3 linked regions of the Rattus norvegicus genome follow. The protein of the gene in region 2 interacts with the protein of the main gene of each other region in a pairwise test. Links are inferred from orthologs where the notes say so. Each region holds a gene or a part of one and is shown on either strand. Other genes may lie near its edges. The genes, in order: Copz2, Copg1 and Copz1.

Region 1 (4,120 bases), on a different chromosome or scaffold from region 2:
AATGGATAAATAAAAGGATCAGTATGTGTAATTTTTAAAAGCAACAACAAAAAAAAAGATGGGCCGAAGAGACAGCTCAGTGGTTAAGAGCACCAACTGCTCTTCCAGAGGTCCTGAGTTCAATTCCCAGCAACCTCATGGCGGCTCACAACCATCTGTAACTCCAAGATTTGACACCCTCACACTTAGACATGCATGCAGGTGACACGCCGACACACATGAAACTAAAAAAAGAAAAAGGTGAAAGTCGGAAAGAGAAAGGCTCGGTGTCTTTAAGTGGAAAGAAGTCTGGTGTGACTGCAATGCTGTATACTGAGGCTCTCAAGGTCAGAATGGGGAAACCTGCCCTGTCCCAAGCCTGGGAACCCTCCCACTCAACTGCCTAGCCCAATCAGCAGCTTGAACAGGTCACATGAAGTCTGACTCTGCTCAATGGATATGTCCAAAAACACCTCCTTCCTAGACATGGTGGCTTTGACAAAAGCCATACAGTGAGAGCTCTTGTGTATGACATATCTGTCAGTGTTCTGAATGCCTGGCTGCCCAAGCACCGGTAACTACCTCACTCTATGTGTTGTACTCTGGCGGGGTAGTCGCAGGCTCAGGCTGGATTTCAAGTGTGCTGTATCCTACTGGCCTCATCCACCTCTTGGCCTTGGAAAATGTCTGGGGGAGGTGAGAGTCCTACCGTAGCTCACAACCATCAGATGTCCTCCTCTAGTGTGTCTGAAGACAGTGACAGTGTCCTCACATACATAAAATAAATACAATTTTAAAAAAGAGAGAGAAATCTCAAAAAATTAAAAAAAAAAAAGAGTTCTTTAAAAAAAAAAAAAGTGATGAGCTATTTGTCCCAATGACACCTACTAGGGGGTCCTGAGGAAAAAGTGAACCTTACCTGAGATTCGGGCTGACCCAGGACAGCCACGTGGAGACCTCTGGGCACCAAAGCTACAGGCCCCCAACCTAGGCCAGAAGAGGCAGTAAGTGGGAAGAGTGGGGAGCTTCTGGTTCACCTGAGAGACTGGGAGGTGCAGAGAGAGGCCAGAGGGAAGAATCCAAGTGGGGAGATGAGGTTCTGCGGTGTGGGGGGTCTGGCGGAAAGCTCGTTCAGAGAGAGGGGACGCACACAGAGACCAGCCACGCAGGACTGGGTGGAGGGGCAGCGTCGCGGGGGGCGGGCACGGGGCGGGGCGGCGCTGTCAGTGCAGGCAGCGAGCGGAATGCAGCGGCCGGAGGCCTGGCCACGTCCGCACCCGGGGGAGGGGGCCTCGGCCGCTCAAGCCGGGGGCGCAGCGCCGCCCACCCGAGCCACGGAGCAGAGGGTACGGAGCACGGAGTGTGGGGTCCCGGGGCGGCAGGATGGTGGTTGGGGACAGCCGATTTGCCTCGGGCTCCTGAGCTGGGAACTTTGTGCCACTATTGCCCAGCCCCGGAGAGGCAGCCTGGGCCCCGGGAAGGGAGAAAAAGTTCGTCCTGGAGCGCACGGGCGAGGAGGCCTGAGTGGAGTGTCGAGGGACTGAAGTTCTGGGGAACTCGCTGCAGTGATAGGAACTGACTTGGGTGGCGGGGAAGGGAGCGAGATTCTGGCGGGACGAGGGAGGAGTGGGAGTGGCGAGGTGGTCTGGTTGGGCTCCTTTACTCCAGGGTGATGGCCGCGCGCATCTGGAAGTGGGGGTCAGCTGGACACAAGGAGGCTCGGCGCCGCTGTTCCCCGGGCCCAGGTTCTGTGATACACTCCGACTCGGGCTCTGGAGCAGTCAGTGCATGACAGAACTTGGGCCCGGTAGGACTTTCTGCACCCAGCGGACTCAGCGCCCACTCCTCGGACCTGCAGTGGAACATCTGTCTGGGAGCGGGAGTGGGCACCGGAAATGGTCCATGTGGCACAGGGGTTGGGCTGGAACCAGCCGTGGATTGGGGGATAGCTGGCTCTACGGAGCCCAAGACACGGTGTCTACTTTGAGTCAGGGGTTCCTTTCTCGTGTCAGTTTCAGGAACCTTCTCTCTACACCATCAAGGCTGTCTTCATCCTAGATAATGATGGACGAAGGCTGCTGGCCAAGGTAACCCCTCCCCACAGGAACCCTGAAGACAGTGCCATTTGTCCAAGACAAGCAGTCCCCTCCCAGCCCTTTTTTTTTTTTTCCTTTTCTTTTTTTTCGGAGCTGGGGACCAAACCCAGGGCCTTGTGCTTGCTAGGCAAGCGCTCTACCACTGAGCTAAATCCCTAACCCCTCTCCCAGCCCATTTAACTCCTCCTATAGGAGAAACTCTGCGTTCTGGATAGCAGAGCAGCCCAGCCTAGATTCTCTAGAAATCACTTTGTCTGCCCTGTGCCTTATCAGTCTAACAGTGAGGGGCTGGGTGGGGTGAGTGGAGATCTCCTGTTTCTTACTCATGTTCCCTGACATGTCTTCTCCTTGTCCTTGCTCTGGCCAGCTGCATCCTGGGCCTGGGAAGCTTCACCAAAGGGGTTCAGTGGATAGTTGAGCCTGAAACCTAGGAATCTGAGTCCCTAAACTGTAGACAAAGTGACCTGTGTGCCTTTGTACTTCAACTAGGTAAACAATAAGGACTTAGCATAATGATGTAGTATGGGATTGGGGAGACCATCTAGTCGCGCCCTCTAACTTCAGGGATGTAGAAAATGAAGTCTAGGGTGCTAAGTAGGTTGCCTGAGGTCACAGGGTTAGTCCCACAAGTGACTCTTGGATTCAGGGTTTAGATTTGAGGCTCCAGATAGTTTTCCTCGGACTTCCATTCAGTTATCCAGTATCCATCCTGCACGGCTTGGGTGAGATAAGCTAAAACCATTTGAAGCTAAGTTTCAGGGTAGAACAGATGGCTCAGTGGGAAAGGCTGCCACGTTTGACAATTTGAGTTGGTTCCTGAATTCACGTAGTTGAAGGAGGGAACAGATTCCTCAGGTTGTCCTTTGACCTCCATCCTTGCCCCCCTACAAACCCGCACACATAAATAAATGTTAAAAAGGGAAAAGACTGTAGAAAGAAAAAAAATGCCCTAAATTTCTGCCACTTTGAAGGCCAGGCAATGGTGCTTGCTTTTAATCCCAGCATTCAGGAGAAAGGGGCAGGTGAATCTCTGTGAATTTGAGGCCAGCCTGGGATACATAATAAGACCTGTTTCAAAAGCAAACACAAAAATTCAATAATAAATAAATAAATAAAGTTACTGCCACAATATAATTATCTGTAACAGAAATTTAGCAACACTTTTGTTTTTTTAATTATTTTTTTCTCTTTTGTTTTTTCGGAGCTGGGGACCGAACCCAGGGCCTTGCAGTTGCTAGGCAAGCGCTCTACCACTGAGCTAAATCCCCAACTATTTTTTTTTTTTTGGTTCTTTTTTTTGAAGCTGGGGACCAAACCCAGGGCCTTGCGCTTCCTAGGTAAGCGCTCTACCACTGAGCTAAATCCCCAGCCCCTATTTTTTATGTATATAAGTACACTGTCACTGTCTTCAGACACACCAGAGAGGGCATCGAATCCCATTACAGATGGTTGTGAGCCACCATGAGGTTGCTGGGATTTGAACTTAGGACCTCTGGAAGAACAGTCAGTGCTCTTAACCGCTGGGCTAACTCTTCAGCCCCCAAATACTTTTGTTTTGTTTTGTTTTGTTTTGTTGTGGACCAGTTGGCCACAAACTAACAAACTTGTCCCTTGAGTGCTGAGATCACTGGCAAGCCCCTACTTTTGTTTTACGCACGTGCGTGCGTGCGTGCGTGCGTGCGTGCGTGCGTGTGTGTGTGTGTGTGTGTGTGTGTGTGTCTGTGTGTGTATAGCCTGCCTCTGCCTTGCAAGTGCTGGGGTTGAAAGATGCCACCACAACCAGCCCCTGATTAATTTTGTTTGCTTGTTTTTTGTTTGTTTGGTTGGTTTTTGTTTTGTTTTGTTTTTAATCAGGGGCTTACTTTATAAGCAAAGTTGGCCTGGAACTTACTATGTAGCCCAGATTAGCCTGGAAATCACAGTGATCCTACCTCAGCCTCCCAAGTGCTGAGATTACATGTGTGAGTCATACTTTTTTTCTTTTAAACAGTGTCTCATATTGTCAAGGTTGGCCTAGAACTCCTGATCTTCCTGTTTCTTCCTTC
Region 2 (4,204 bases):
AGGGGGAAGGTGGAGACCACCCCTCCTATTGTAGTATCCTCCCAGGCAAACATGACTTTTGATTAATAGGGTGTGCTTCCAAGAAGAAGCACGCAGACATGGGAACCACATTTTTATTCTAACTCAGGTGGTGACATTGTCTTTTAGTTTTAAAAGAATCCCAGTGGGGTTGGGGATTTAGCTCAGTGGTAGAGCACTTGCCTAGCAAGCGCAAGGCGCAAGGCGCAAGGCCCTGGGTTCGGTCCCCAGCTCCGAAAAAAAGAAAAAAGAAAAAAGGGAAAAAAAAAAAAAACCCAGCAAAGGAATTTAAAGGGGAAAAGGTCAGTCACATTAATCTGAGAGTAGCATGGCCTTTTTACAAAGTTAACAAAATTTTTACTGGGTGTGGGTATTTAAAATTTTGTATTAAAAGTCTTACAAGGCGGAGGAAGATAAACAATATTTGGATTCCTTGTCAAAACACAAGTTTTACAGTATTTAGTAGAAAAGACTCATTTCATAATTTTCACAATTGAACCAGGTCCTCAGGTTTGGCAGCAAGCACCTTTATTTACCAGCTGAGCCACCTCATTGGCTCTATTTTTTGAGGTGGAAGTCATGTAGCTTTGGTTGGTGCCGGAAGATGGCCTTGAACTCATCCTTTCTCTGCCTCATGAGTGCGGAAATTACAATGTCCAGTTATATCTCAATTTTTTTTTTTCCGGAGCTGGGGACCGAACCCAGGGCCTTGCGCTTGCTAGGCAAGCGCTCTACCACTGAGCTAAATCCCCAACCCCGTATATCTCAATTTTTAAAGCACAAGTGTACATAACTCTAATATTCATTGGCTTACAAAACTAGACTTTGATGGAATCGGTTCCTTGGCTAGCAACGGGTGCCCTTTTCCCCCTTCGCGCCCCGTCTCCCGCCTACGACGACCCCCCTGGCACAATCCTTGGGGACAGTGAACTTGTCCGAGAGCAGCTTCCCAATAAATTTGCCTTTAAAATATTCTAACCTGGCTTGTTGGCTCATTTCACCGGCGGCGTAAAAATAACCTATCAGTGAGACTTCCGGAAAATGACAATAAAGAGTAACAGAGAACGTTTATGGGGTCAGCGTGCTGCAACTCTCCCAATCAGAACGCCCTTTAAATTCAGCCGGCAGCAACTGCAAAGACATCAGCCACCGGAACACACGGGGGCGCAGAGGCGGAGCACCCGCAACAGCAGGTCTAAGGCCCCGCCCCATTGCTCAGCCACGCCCATTTTCCTGAGTCTCATTCCTAGCCTTCCGCTCTCCTCCACTCAGCTAGATTTTGACTGTCTCCGGGCAGGCAATGAAGGTGTAACGTGGAAGCAGTTGTGCGCAGGCGCAGACGATAGAGTGCGCAGGCGCAGTCCAAAGAGCAGTGCTCAGGGCGACGTGGCGGGCGGGAGTACGGAAGCCGCTGGGAGAAATTGATCTCACCGCTACCCTGAGCATCTTTCTATTGCGTGGAGCTACCGCTGGCACCATGTTGAAGAAATTCGACAAGAAGGACGAGGAGTCTGGTGAGGGACCCTTGAAAGTGTTGGGAAGGCCAGATCCACGCGGGGATTCACGCGACCTTTCTAGGCTTCCTTCTTCCGGGCCTCTGTCAGAACAAGATTCGAGGCCAGAGAGGGGCAGGGGCTTGTGCGCAGGTCCATAGCAATTCTTGGAGAAGACGTGCTGTTTGCACTCTCCAGTTCTGGTCAGAATTGATGCGTGACCTTGTGCGGGTCACGCACCTCTCTGGACCTCAGTTTCCCCATCTTGTCAGAGGAGGTTCCAAGGATGGGTGCTCCCTTGTATTCCACCCGACCTCTTGGTATTTGCCAAAGCTGCGTTGGTTCTTTGCCTATCTGGGTGCAACCAGTCCAGCAGTTAATAACCCTGACTGTTTCTTTCACTCATTCAATAAACTACATCAGGAACCTCACTGATCCTGATATTGCAGTACCTAAGGCAAGTGCGACACTAGATGCCTGCAATAGGAATGTTAGGATGGTCACATAATGGAGGAGCCAGACAGTAACCAGATAATCACATGCATAATTACTTAATGTAATATCTGCTGTCATCTCAGTCACAGGTCAGTTAGTGTTGGTTGTCCCTGGCACATAGACTCACTTAAGTTCTGGTTGTACGAGTCAATGCTAAATGTTATACCTTGAGAGTCACAGAAAGAATGCTAGGTGACTGTGAGAGGACCTTGACTGCCTCTGGAAGATGATATAGACTTCCTTCCCGTCCCCGTGTTTGGCAGAATCTTGAAATTTAGGGTCCCAGTTTGGGGCTGTAACAGTTGGTAGAGTGCTTGCCTAGCATGCATGAAGCCTTGTGTTTGATCCACAGCACTGCGTAAACCAGGAAGTAGAGGTAGGAAGATCGTCCTCTGCTAAAATTTGAGTTCAAGGCTAGCATGGAATACGTGAGACGCTGTCTCAAAAAAAAAAAAAAAAAAAAAAAAAAAGAAAAGAAAAAGAAGGAAAGAAATCTATCCAAGATCACAACCTGTAATCAGTCTTCTCTGTTCACTGTAGGTGGAGGTTCCAACCCCCTCCAGCACCTGGAGAAGAGTGCAGTACTCCAAGAGGCAAGTTCCATCATACCTGTGTCTGGTCAGGGATGCCTGCCAGCCCTGCTGTCAGACACTAACATACATAGAGTGCTGGTTTACAGAGCCTGGGCCCAGGAAGGTGGGACCTACTAATTATATTGCTAAGTGTGACTAGTACGAGGGCAGCACAAGCAGAGACTTGGGGTATTACCTAGTCATAACGTAGATCAGTTAAGAGAAATAGGCTCTCCCCACTTGAGAATACATTTGTGTGGACTGACACACCCCGTGGTTCTCTAGGCCCTTCATGAACTGAGGGGCAGCTGTGGAATGGAAGTGTACTAGGCTAGAGGTAATGGTTGCTTCTTCACAGGCTCGGGTCTTTAACGAAACTCCTATCAACCCCCGGAAATGTGCCCACATCCTCACCAAGATCCTTTACCTCATAAACCAGGTAACAAGATGGGGCTTGGCAGGGAGTACAAGGGGGACTGTGTAAGTGGGGATGTACCCTTAAGCTTTCGATTGACAGCTCTGTGATTGGAACCAACAGTCTAGCCCTGGGTCCTCTTAAGTTTCCAGCTCTCATTTGTTGCTTGTGCTCCAAAGGTCTAGCCTGCTGACCTCCTGTCCAAACCTGCGTCTTTTCTGATTACCACAGGGGGAGCACCTGGGGACCACAGAAGCAACTGAGGCTTTCTTTGCCATGACCAAGCTCTTTCAGTCCAATGATGTAAGTACGTCAATCTGCATGTCTGCAGATGTGACGCCTGTGACAGGGTAGCTGGCAGGAGGACAACTGCCTTCCACACAGTCAGGCTCCTCTTGAGTCAGGTCCTCTCCCACTGAGCAGGACTGATAGGGTCTTCTCCATGTCTTTTCCAGCCCACACTCCGCCGAATGTGCTACTTGACCATCAAGGAGATGTCCTGCATCGCTGAGGATGTCATCATTGTGACGAGCAGGCATGTCTTGGGCAGGGGTGGCTCCTCTGGTGGGACCCATTGACAGAGACAACTCGTACAGCCAAGGGACTCCTGACATCTGGCCTGTGCCCTGTCCTCCTAGGCCCACCCCCTGCCAGCCTCTAGAGTGGTCTGCTTCTTTCTCACTTCTCTGGCCTTGCTTCTCTTCCTCCTCCTTAGACGGCACAACCAGTGTGGAGCTTTCAGAGAGTCTTTAGTCAGTGCTAAGGAAAAGAAAAACAGATGCAAGAAATCCTTCAGAACTGGGAGTCAAAACTGGACATGGTGCTATACACTTGTACTTACAGCGTTTGGTAAAAACAGGAGGATAGCTGCCAGTTTGAACCTGCTTGGGCTACATAAGAAGATGTCACCAAGAAATAAAATAAAACAACACCCCCCCCCCCACACACACACACCTAGTTCTTTTATTTCTTATTGACATTGCTAGCCAAGGAGAGGGTCCATACAGCCAGTTTCAGGTACATTGATACTTACTGGGGCTGGAGAGATGGCTCAGTGGTTAGAGCACCAGTTGCTTTCCTAGAACCCACATCAGGAGGCTTAAGAGCATCTGTTACTCCAGCTACAAAGGACTCTGATGTGTCAGAGGGCACCATACTCAGGTATACATACTCACATGCAGACAGATACTTACATTGCTAAAAATAATAAA
Region 3 (3,614 bases), on a different chromosome or scaffold from region 2:
CTGGGTGTATATGTGTGAACTTGTTAGAGAGGCCAGAGAATAACTAGCAGGAGCTCTCTCTCTCTCTCTCTCTCTCTCTCTCTCTCTCTCTCTCTCTCTCTGCCATGTGGGTTCTGGCTCTGAGGCTTGGCAGCAATCTATCTCTCTGTCTCTTTCTGTCTCTCTCTGTCTCCCCCCTCTCTCCCGCCCCCTTCCCATTCCCTGCCTCTGTAGTCCATGCTTCTCTGTCTCAGTATTCCCCTGTTACCTCATGCCTTGAAGGGGTCATACAAGATCCCAGAGTAGAACACTCACTAATCATTGTGGGCTCACAGCTATGGTGACCCAACCATGTCTCCTTCCCTCCCACTAGTACTATGACGACACCTACCCCAGTGTCAAGGAGCAAAAAGCCTTTGAGAAGAACATTTTCAACAAGACCCATCGGACGGATAGTAGGTCATTCTGCACCATTCTCTGTGTTTCGGGGAACCACAGGAAGGGGGTGTCAGCAGGACTAGAAAAAAAGATAAAATGACTCGGCCTCCTCTTTTTTTTTCCTCCTCCCCTCATATAATAAACTCTTCAGAAATGTAATGGGGAGGTGAGTGTACCTCACACGGGAATACCATGGTAGAAGCTTGGCTGTTAGCTACCTGTCTAGTCCCTGGATTTATGAGCCTCACTTGACAAATTTAACTGCAGCTCTGCTTATTGTACCGCATCCATTAGGGCAGGTAAATGGAAGCCTGTAAAGGTGACCGCTCTGCGTTTTTACCTCCGAAGGATCGGCTGCTACCCTGCCTCATACGCAGGGAGGGAAGTAGGTGCAGTGGGGGAGGGAGAACCAGAGAACAGAGACTCCCCTGAGTTTCTGAGTCCCTTCTGCCTACCCCTCGAAACAATAAATAGCTTCAGTGCTTGGAGGTCATTACAGTTGGCCTTTCCTTGGCCCAGGCAGCTGGCCCCGGGATTTCATGGGAACTCCTGTTCTGCCACCTCTTCTCCCACCATTCAGTTTCTGCTTTCTTCCCCCAGGTGAAATCGCCCTGTTGGAAGGGCTGACAGTGGTCTATAAAAGCAGCATTGATCTCTATTTCTATGTGATCGGCAGCTCCTATGAAAACGAGGTGAGACTCACTGTGCGTGTGCTACCTCTGACGCCACTCCAGTGGGACACAGCCACTGGCTTGGGGCTTGCAGAGCTACATTCCTCTGCTCTCTGGCAAGGTCATAAAGAGGTCTGTCAGAAATCCCTGTCAGCCTTACAGAAGAAATGGCCCAGCCAAAGAATCAGTCCAGAAAGGAAGTTTCCTGGGTCTTTTTTTTTTTTTTTTTTTTTTTTTCTTTTTTTAGTAAGGGGCAGTATCTTACTGTATAACACAGGCTGTTTTCAAATCACATCTCTTTCCCAGGTGCTAGAATTACAGACAGGAACCACCATCTCCAATTAGAATATACATCTATACAGTATTAATGTTCTTTCCTACACAGTGGCATTTTAGGTTTTGTTTGCTTCTTTGTTTCTGTTTTATTTTTGAGACAGTGTTACACTGTAGCCCAGACTGGTCTCAAACTCAATGCAATCCTCCAGTCTTAGCCTCTTCAGTGCTGAGATTGTAGGTGTGAGCCACTGTGCCAAGTTCCCATGGCATTTTTTTGTTTGTGTGTGTGTGTGCGCGAGGAGGGAGTTTGAGACAGGGAGTCTATGTGTAGCCCCGGCTGTCCTGGAACTCACTCTGTAGACCAGGCTGGCCTTGAACGTCTCAGGGATCTACCTGCCTCTGCCTCCTGGATACTGGGTCAAAGGTGTGTGCCACCACTACCTTGCTAACCCATGGTGCTTTGTTTGTTTGTTTGTTTGTTTGTTTTTTAACTTTTTAAATTTTATTTTATGTGCATTGGTGTTTTTGTGTGAAGGTATTGGGTCCCCAGGAACAGGGGGTCAGTAGTAGTAGTAGACAGTTATCAACTACCATGTGGGTGCTGGGAATTGAACCCAGGTCCCCTGGAAGAGCAGCCAATGCTCTTAACCTCCAAACCACTTCTCTAGCCCTCTACCCACAGTCACAGTGTTTTTTAAAGGTAGATTTCTGAGGTGTAATCAAGGGTGTGCGTGTGTAAGTGTGAATTTCATGAACCATACAGTAGGAAAGGGTCACTTGATGAGCTCTCACGGTATAAGTGGGTCTGTGAGTGTATCCCTAACCTTCTTGTATGTAGGAAACAACTTCTGGGAGAGTAGAAGGCACGTAAGCCACCAGATAATTTCCCATCACAGCTAAGACTTTTGAGAGACCAGGTCCTGCTGAGCCCTTACTGCTATGTGTGTGCTCTGTGAAGTGTATTGTTTAAGCTTGGCAGCATTTCTGTGGGTGGGAAGCATTACTGTCTTTGTTTTGCCAACGAGGAAACCAAACCACAAAGAACCATATAAAATTACTTTTATTTGGCTTTTGTCAAACTATAAAAGCAGCTGTATGTGTGACTCAGCTCACTAATTCCCTGGAGGTTACCTATGTAGAACAAGCTGAGGTTCAGACCGAGTTCTGACTTGAGAGCCCAAGCTGGGGCTGGACGTGTAGTTCAGTAGTGAAGTGTGCCCATCGCAAATTTCAAGTCTCAGATTTGATCCTTGGTACTGTTTCCTTGTTTTGTTTGTTTGTTTGTTTGTTTTCTTCTAGACAGGGTTTCTCTGTGTAGCCTTGGCTGTCAAGAAACTTGCTTTGTAGACCAGGCTGGCCTTGAACTCAAAGAGATCCACTGCCTCTGCTTTCCGAATTCGGAGATAAAAAGCATGCATGATGAGGCCAATCTCTGGGAATCCAGGATACAGACCTGGCCAGTGTCCATCAGTGTGGCCAGGATTTGATAAAGCTTGATTCAAATTTGGCTTAAAAACAAAACAAAAAAAAAAAAGAAAAAGCATGCATGACCACACCTTACTCTTGAGTACAGTTTTTTTTTTTCTTTCCACCACCTTCCTCTGATCTCAGCTCTTAATAATTTCTCTCTTTACTGATCCATCAGGTAGCTTGGTAAAGGCATAGGGGCAGGGACTGGAGAGATAGTTCAGCTATTAAGAGTGCTGGCTGCTGGAGAGATGGCTTAGCAGTTAAGAGCACTGACTGCTCTTCCAGAGGTCCTGAGTTCAATTCCCAGCAACCACATGGTGGCTTACAACCATCTGTAATGGGATTTGATGCCTCTTCTGCTCTTCTGGTGTGGATATAGATAAAATAAAAATAAATCTTTTTTTTTTTTTTTTTTTTAAGAGCACCGACTGCTCTTTCAGAGGACCTGGGTTTGATTCCCAGCACCCACATAGGAGCTCACAACCATCACTCAATCTCAGGGAATCTAGTGCCTTCTTCTGTCATCTTTGGGTACTACTCATATGTGGTATACAGACATAGTTTTAGACAGATAGTGTATACATTAAAATAATTATTAAAAAGACACTGAGGTAGAGAGGCACGGCAGTGCACACACACCTATTATCCAGTACTTGGGAAGTACAAGGCAGGAAAATCAGGAATTTAGGCTTAACCTCAGTTATATAGGTGGTTCAAGACCGACTGGGGCTATGTGACAGATTACCTCAAAAAGCAAAACGCAGCTGGAAATATTGCTTA

The links.
Region 1: the proteins of Copg1 (region 2) and Copz2 interact in a two-hybrid assay, tested with the Homo sapiens proteins (2 studies listed by BioGRID). The link is inferred for Rattus norvegicus from reciprocal best matches to the Homo sapiens genes COPG1 and COPZ2.
Region 3: the proteins of Copg1 (region 2) and Copz1 interact in a two-hybrid assay, tested with the Homo sapiens proteins (2 studies listed by BioGRID). The link is inferred for Rattus norvegicus from reciprocal best matches to the Homo sapiens genes COPG1 and COPZ1.

Annotation. Positions count from the first base shown.
Region 1 is NC_086028.1:82,327,675-82,331,794, forward strand, and holds the start of Copz2 (coatomer subunit zeta-2), read left to right. Parts: upstream 1-1,213; 5' UTR 1,214-1,223; coding exon 1,224-1,325; intron 1,326-1,708; exon of another isoform or gene 1,709-1,793; intron 1,794-1,991; coding exon 1,992-2,066; intron 2,067-4,120. UniProt on the Homo sapiens protein: The coatomer is a cytosolic protein complex that binds to dilysine motifs and reversibly associates with Golgi non-clathrin-coated vesicles, which further mediate biosynthetic protein transport from the ER, via the Golgi up to the trans Golgi network.
Region 2 is NC_086022.1:121,922,573-121,926,776, forward strand, and holds the start of Copg1 (coatomer subunit gamma-1), read left to right. Parts: upstream 1-1,389; 5' UTR 1,390-1,495; coding exon 1,496-1,532; intron 1,533-2,546; coding exon 2,547-2,599; intron 2,600-2,936; coding exon 2,937-3,017; intron 3,018-3,224; coding exon 3,225-3,296; intron 3,297-3,448; coding exon 3,449-3,528; intron 3,529-4,204. UniProt on the Homo sapiens protein: The coatomer is a cytosolic protein complex that binds to dilysine motifs and reversibly associates with Golgi non-clathrin-coated vesicles, which further mediate biosynthetic protein transport from the ER, via the Golgi up to the trans Golgi network.
Region 3 is NC_086025.1:136,305,212-136,308,825, forward strand, and holds part of Copz1 (coatomer subunit zeta-1), read left to right. Parts: intron 1-352; coding exon 353-434; intron 435-1,017; coding exon 1,018-1,109; intron 1,110-3,614. UniProt on the Homo sapiens protein: The coatomer is a cytosolic protein complex that binds to dilysine motifs and reversibly associates with Golgi non-clathrin-coated vesicles, which further mediate biosynthetic protein transport from the ER, via the Golgi up to the trans Golgi network.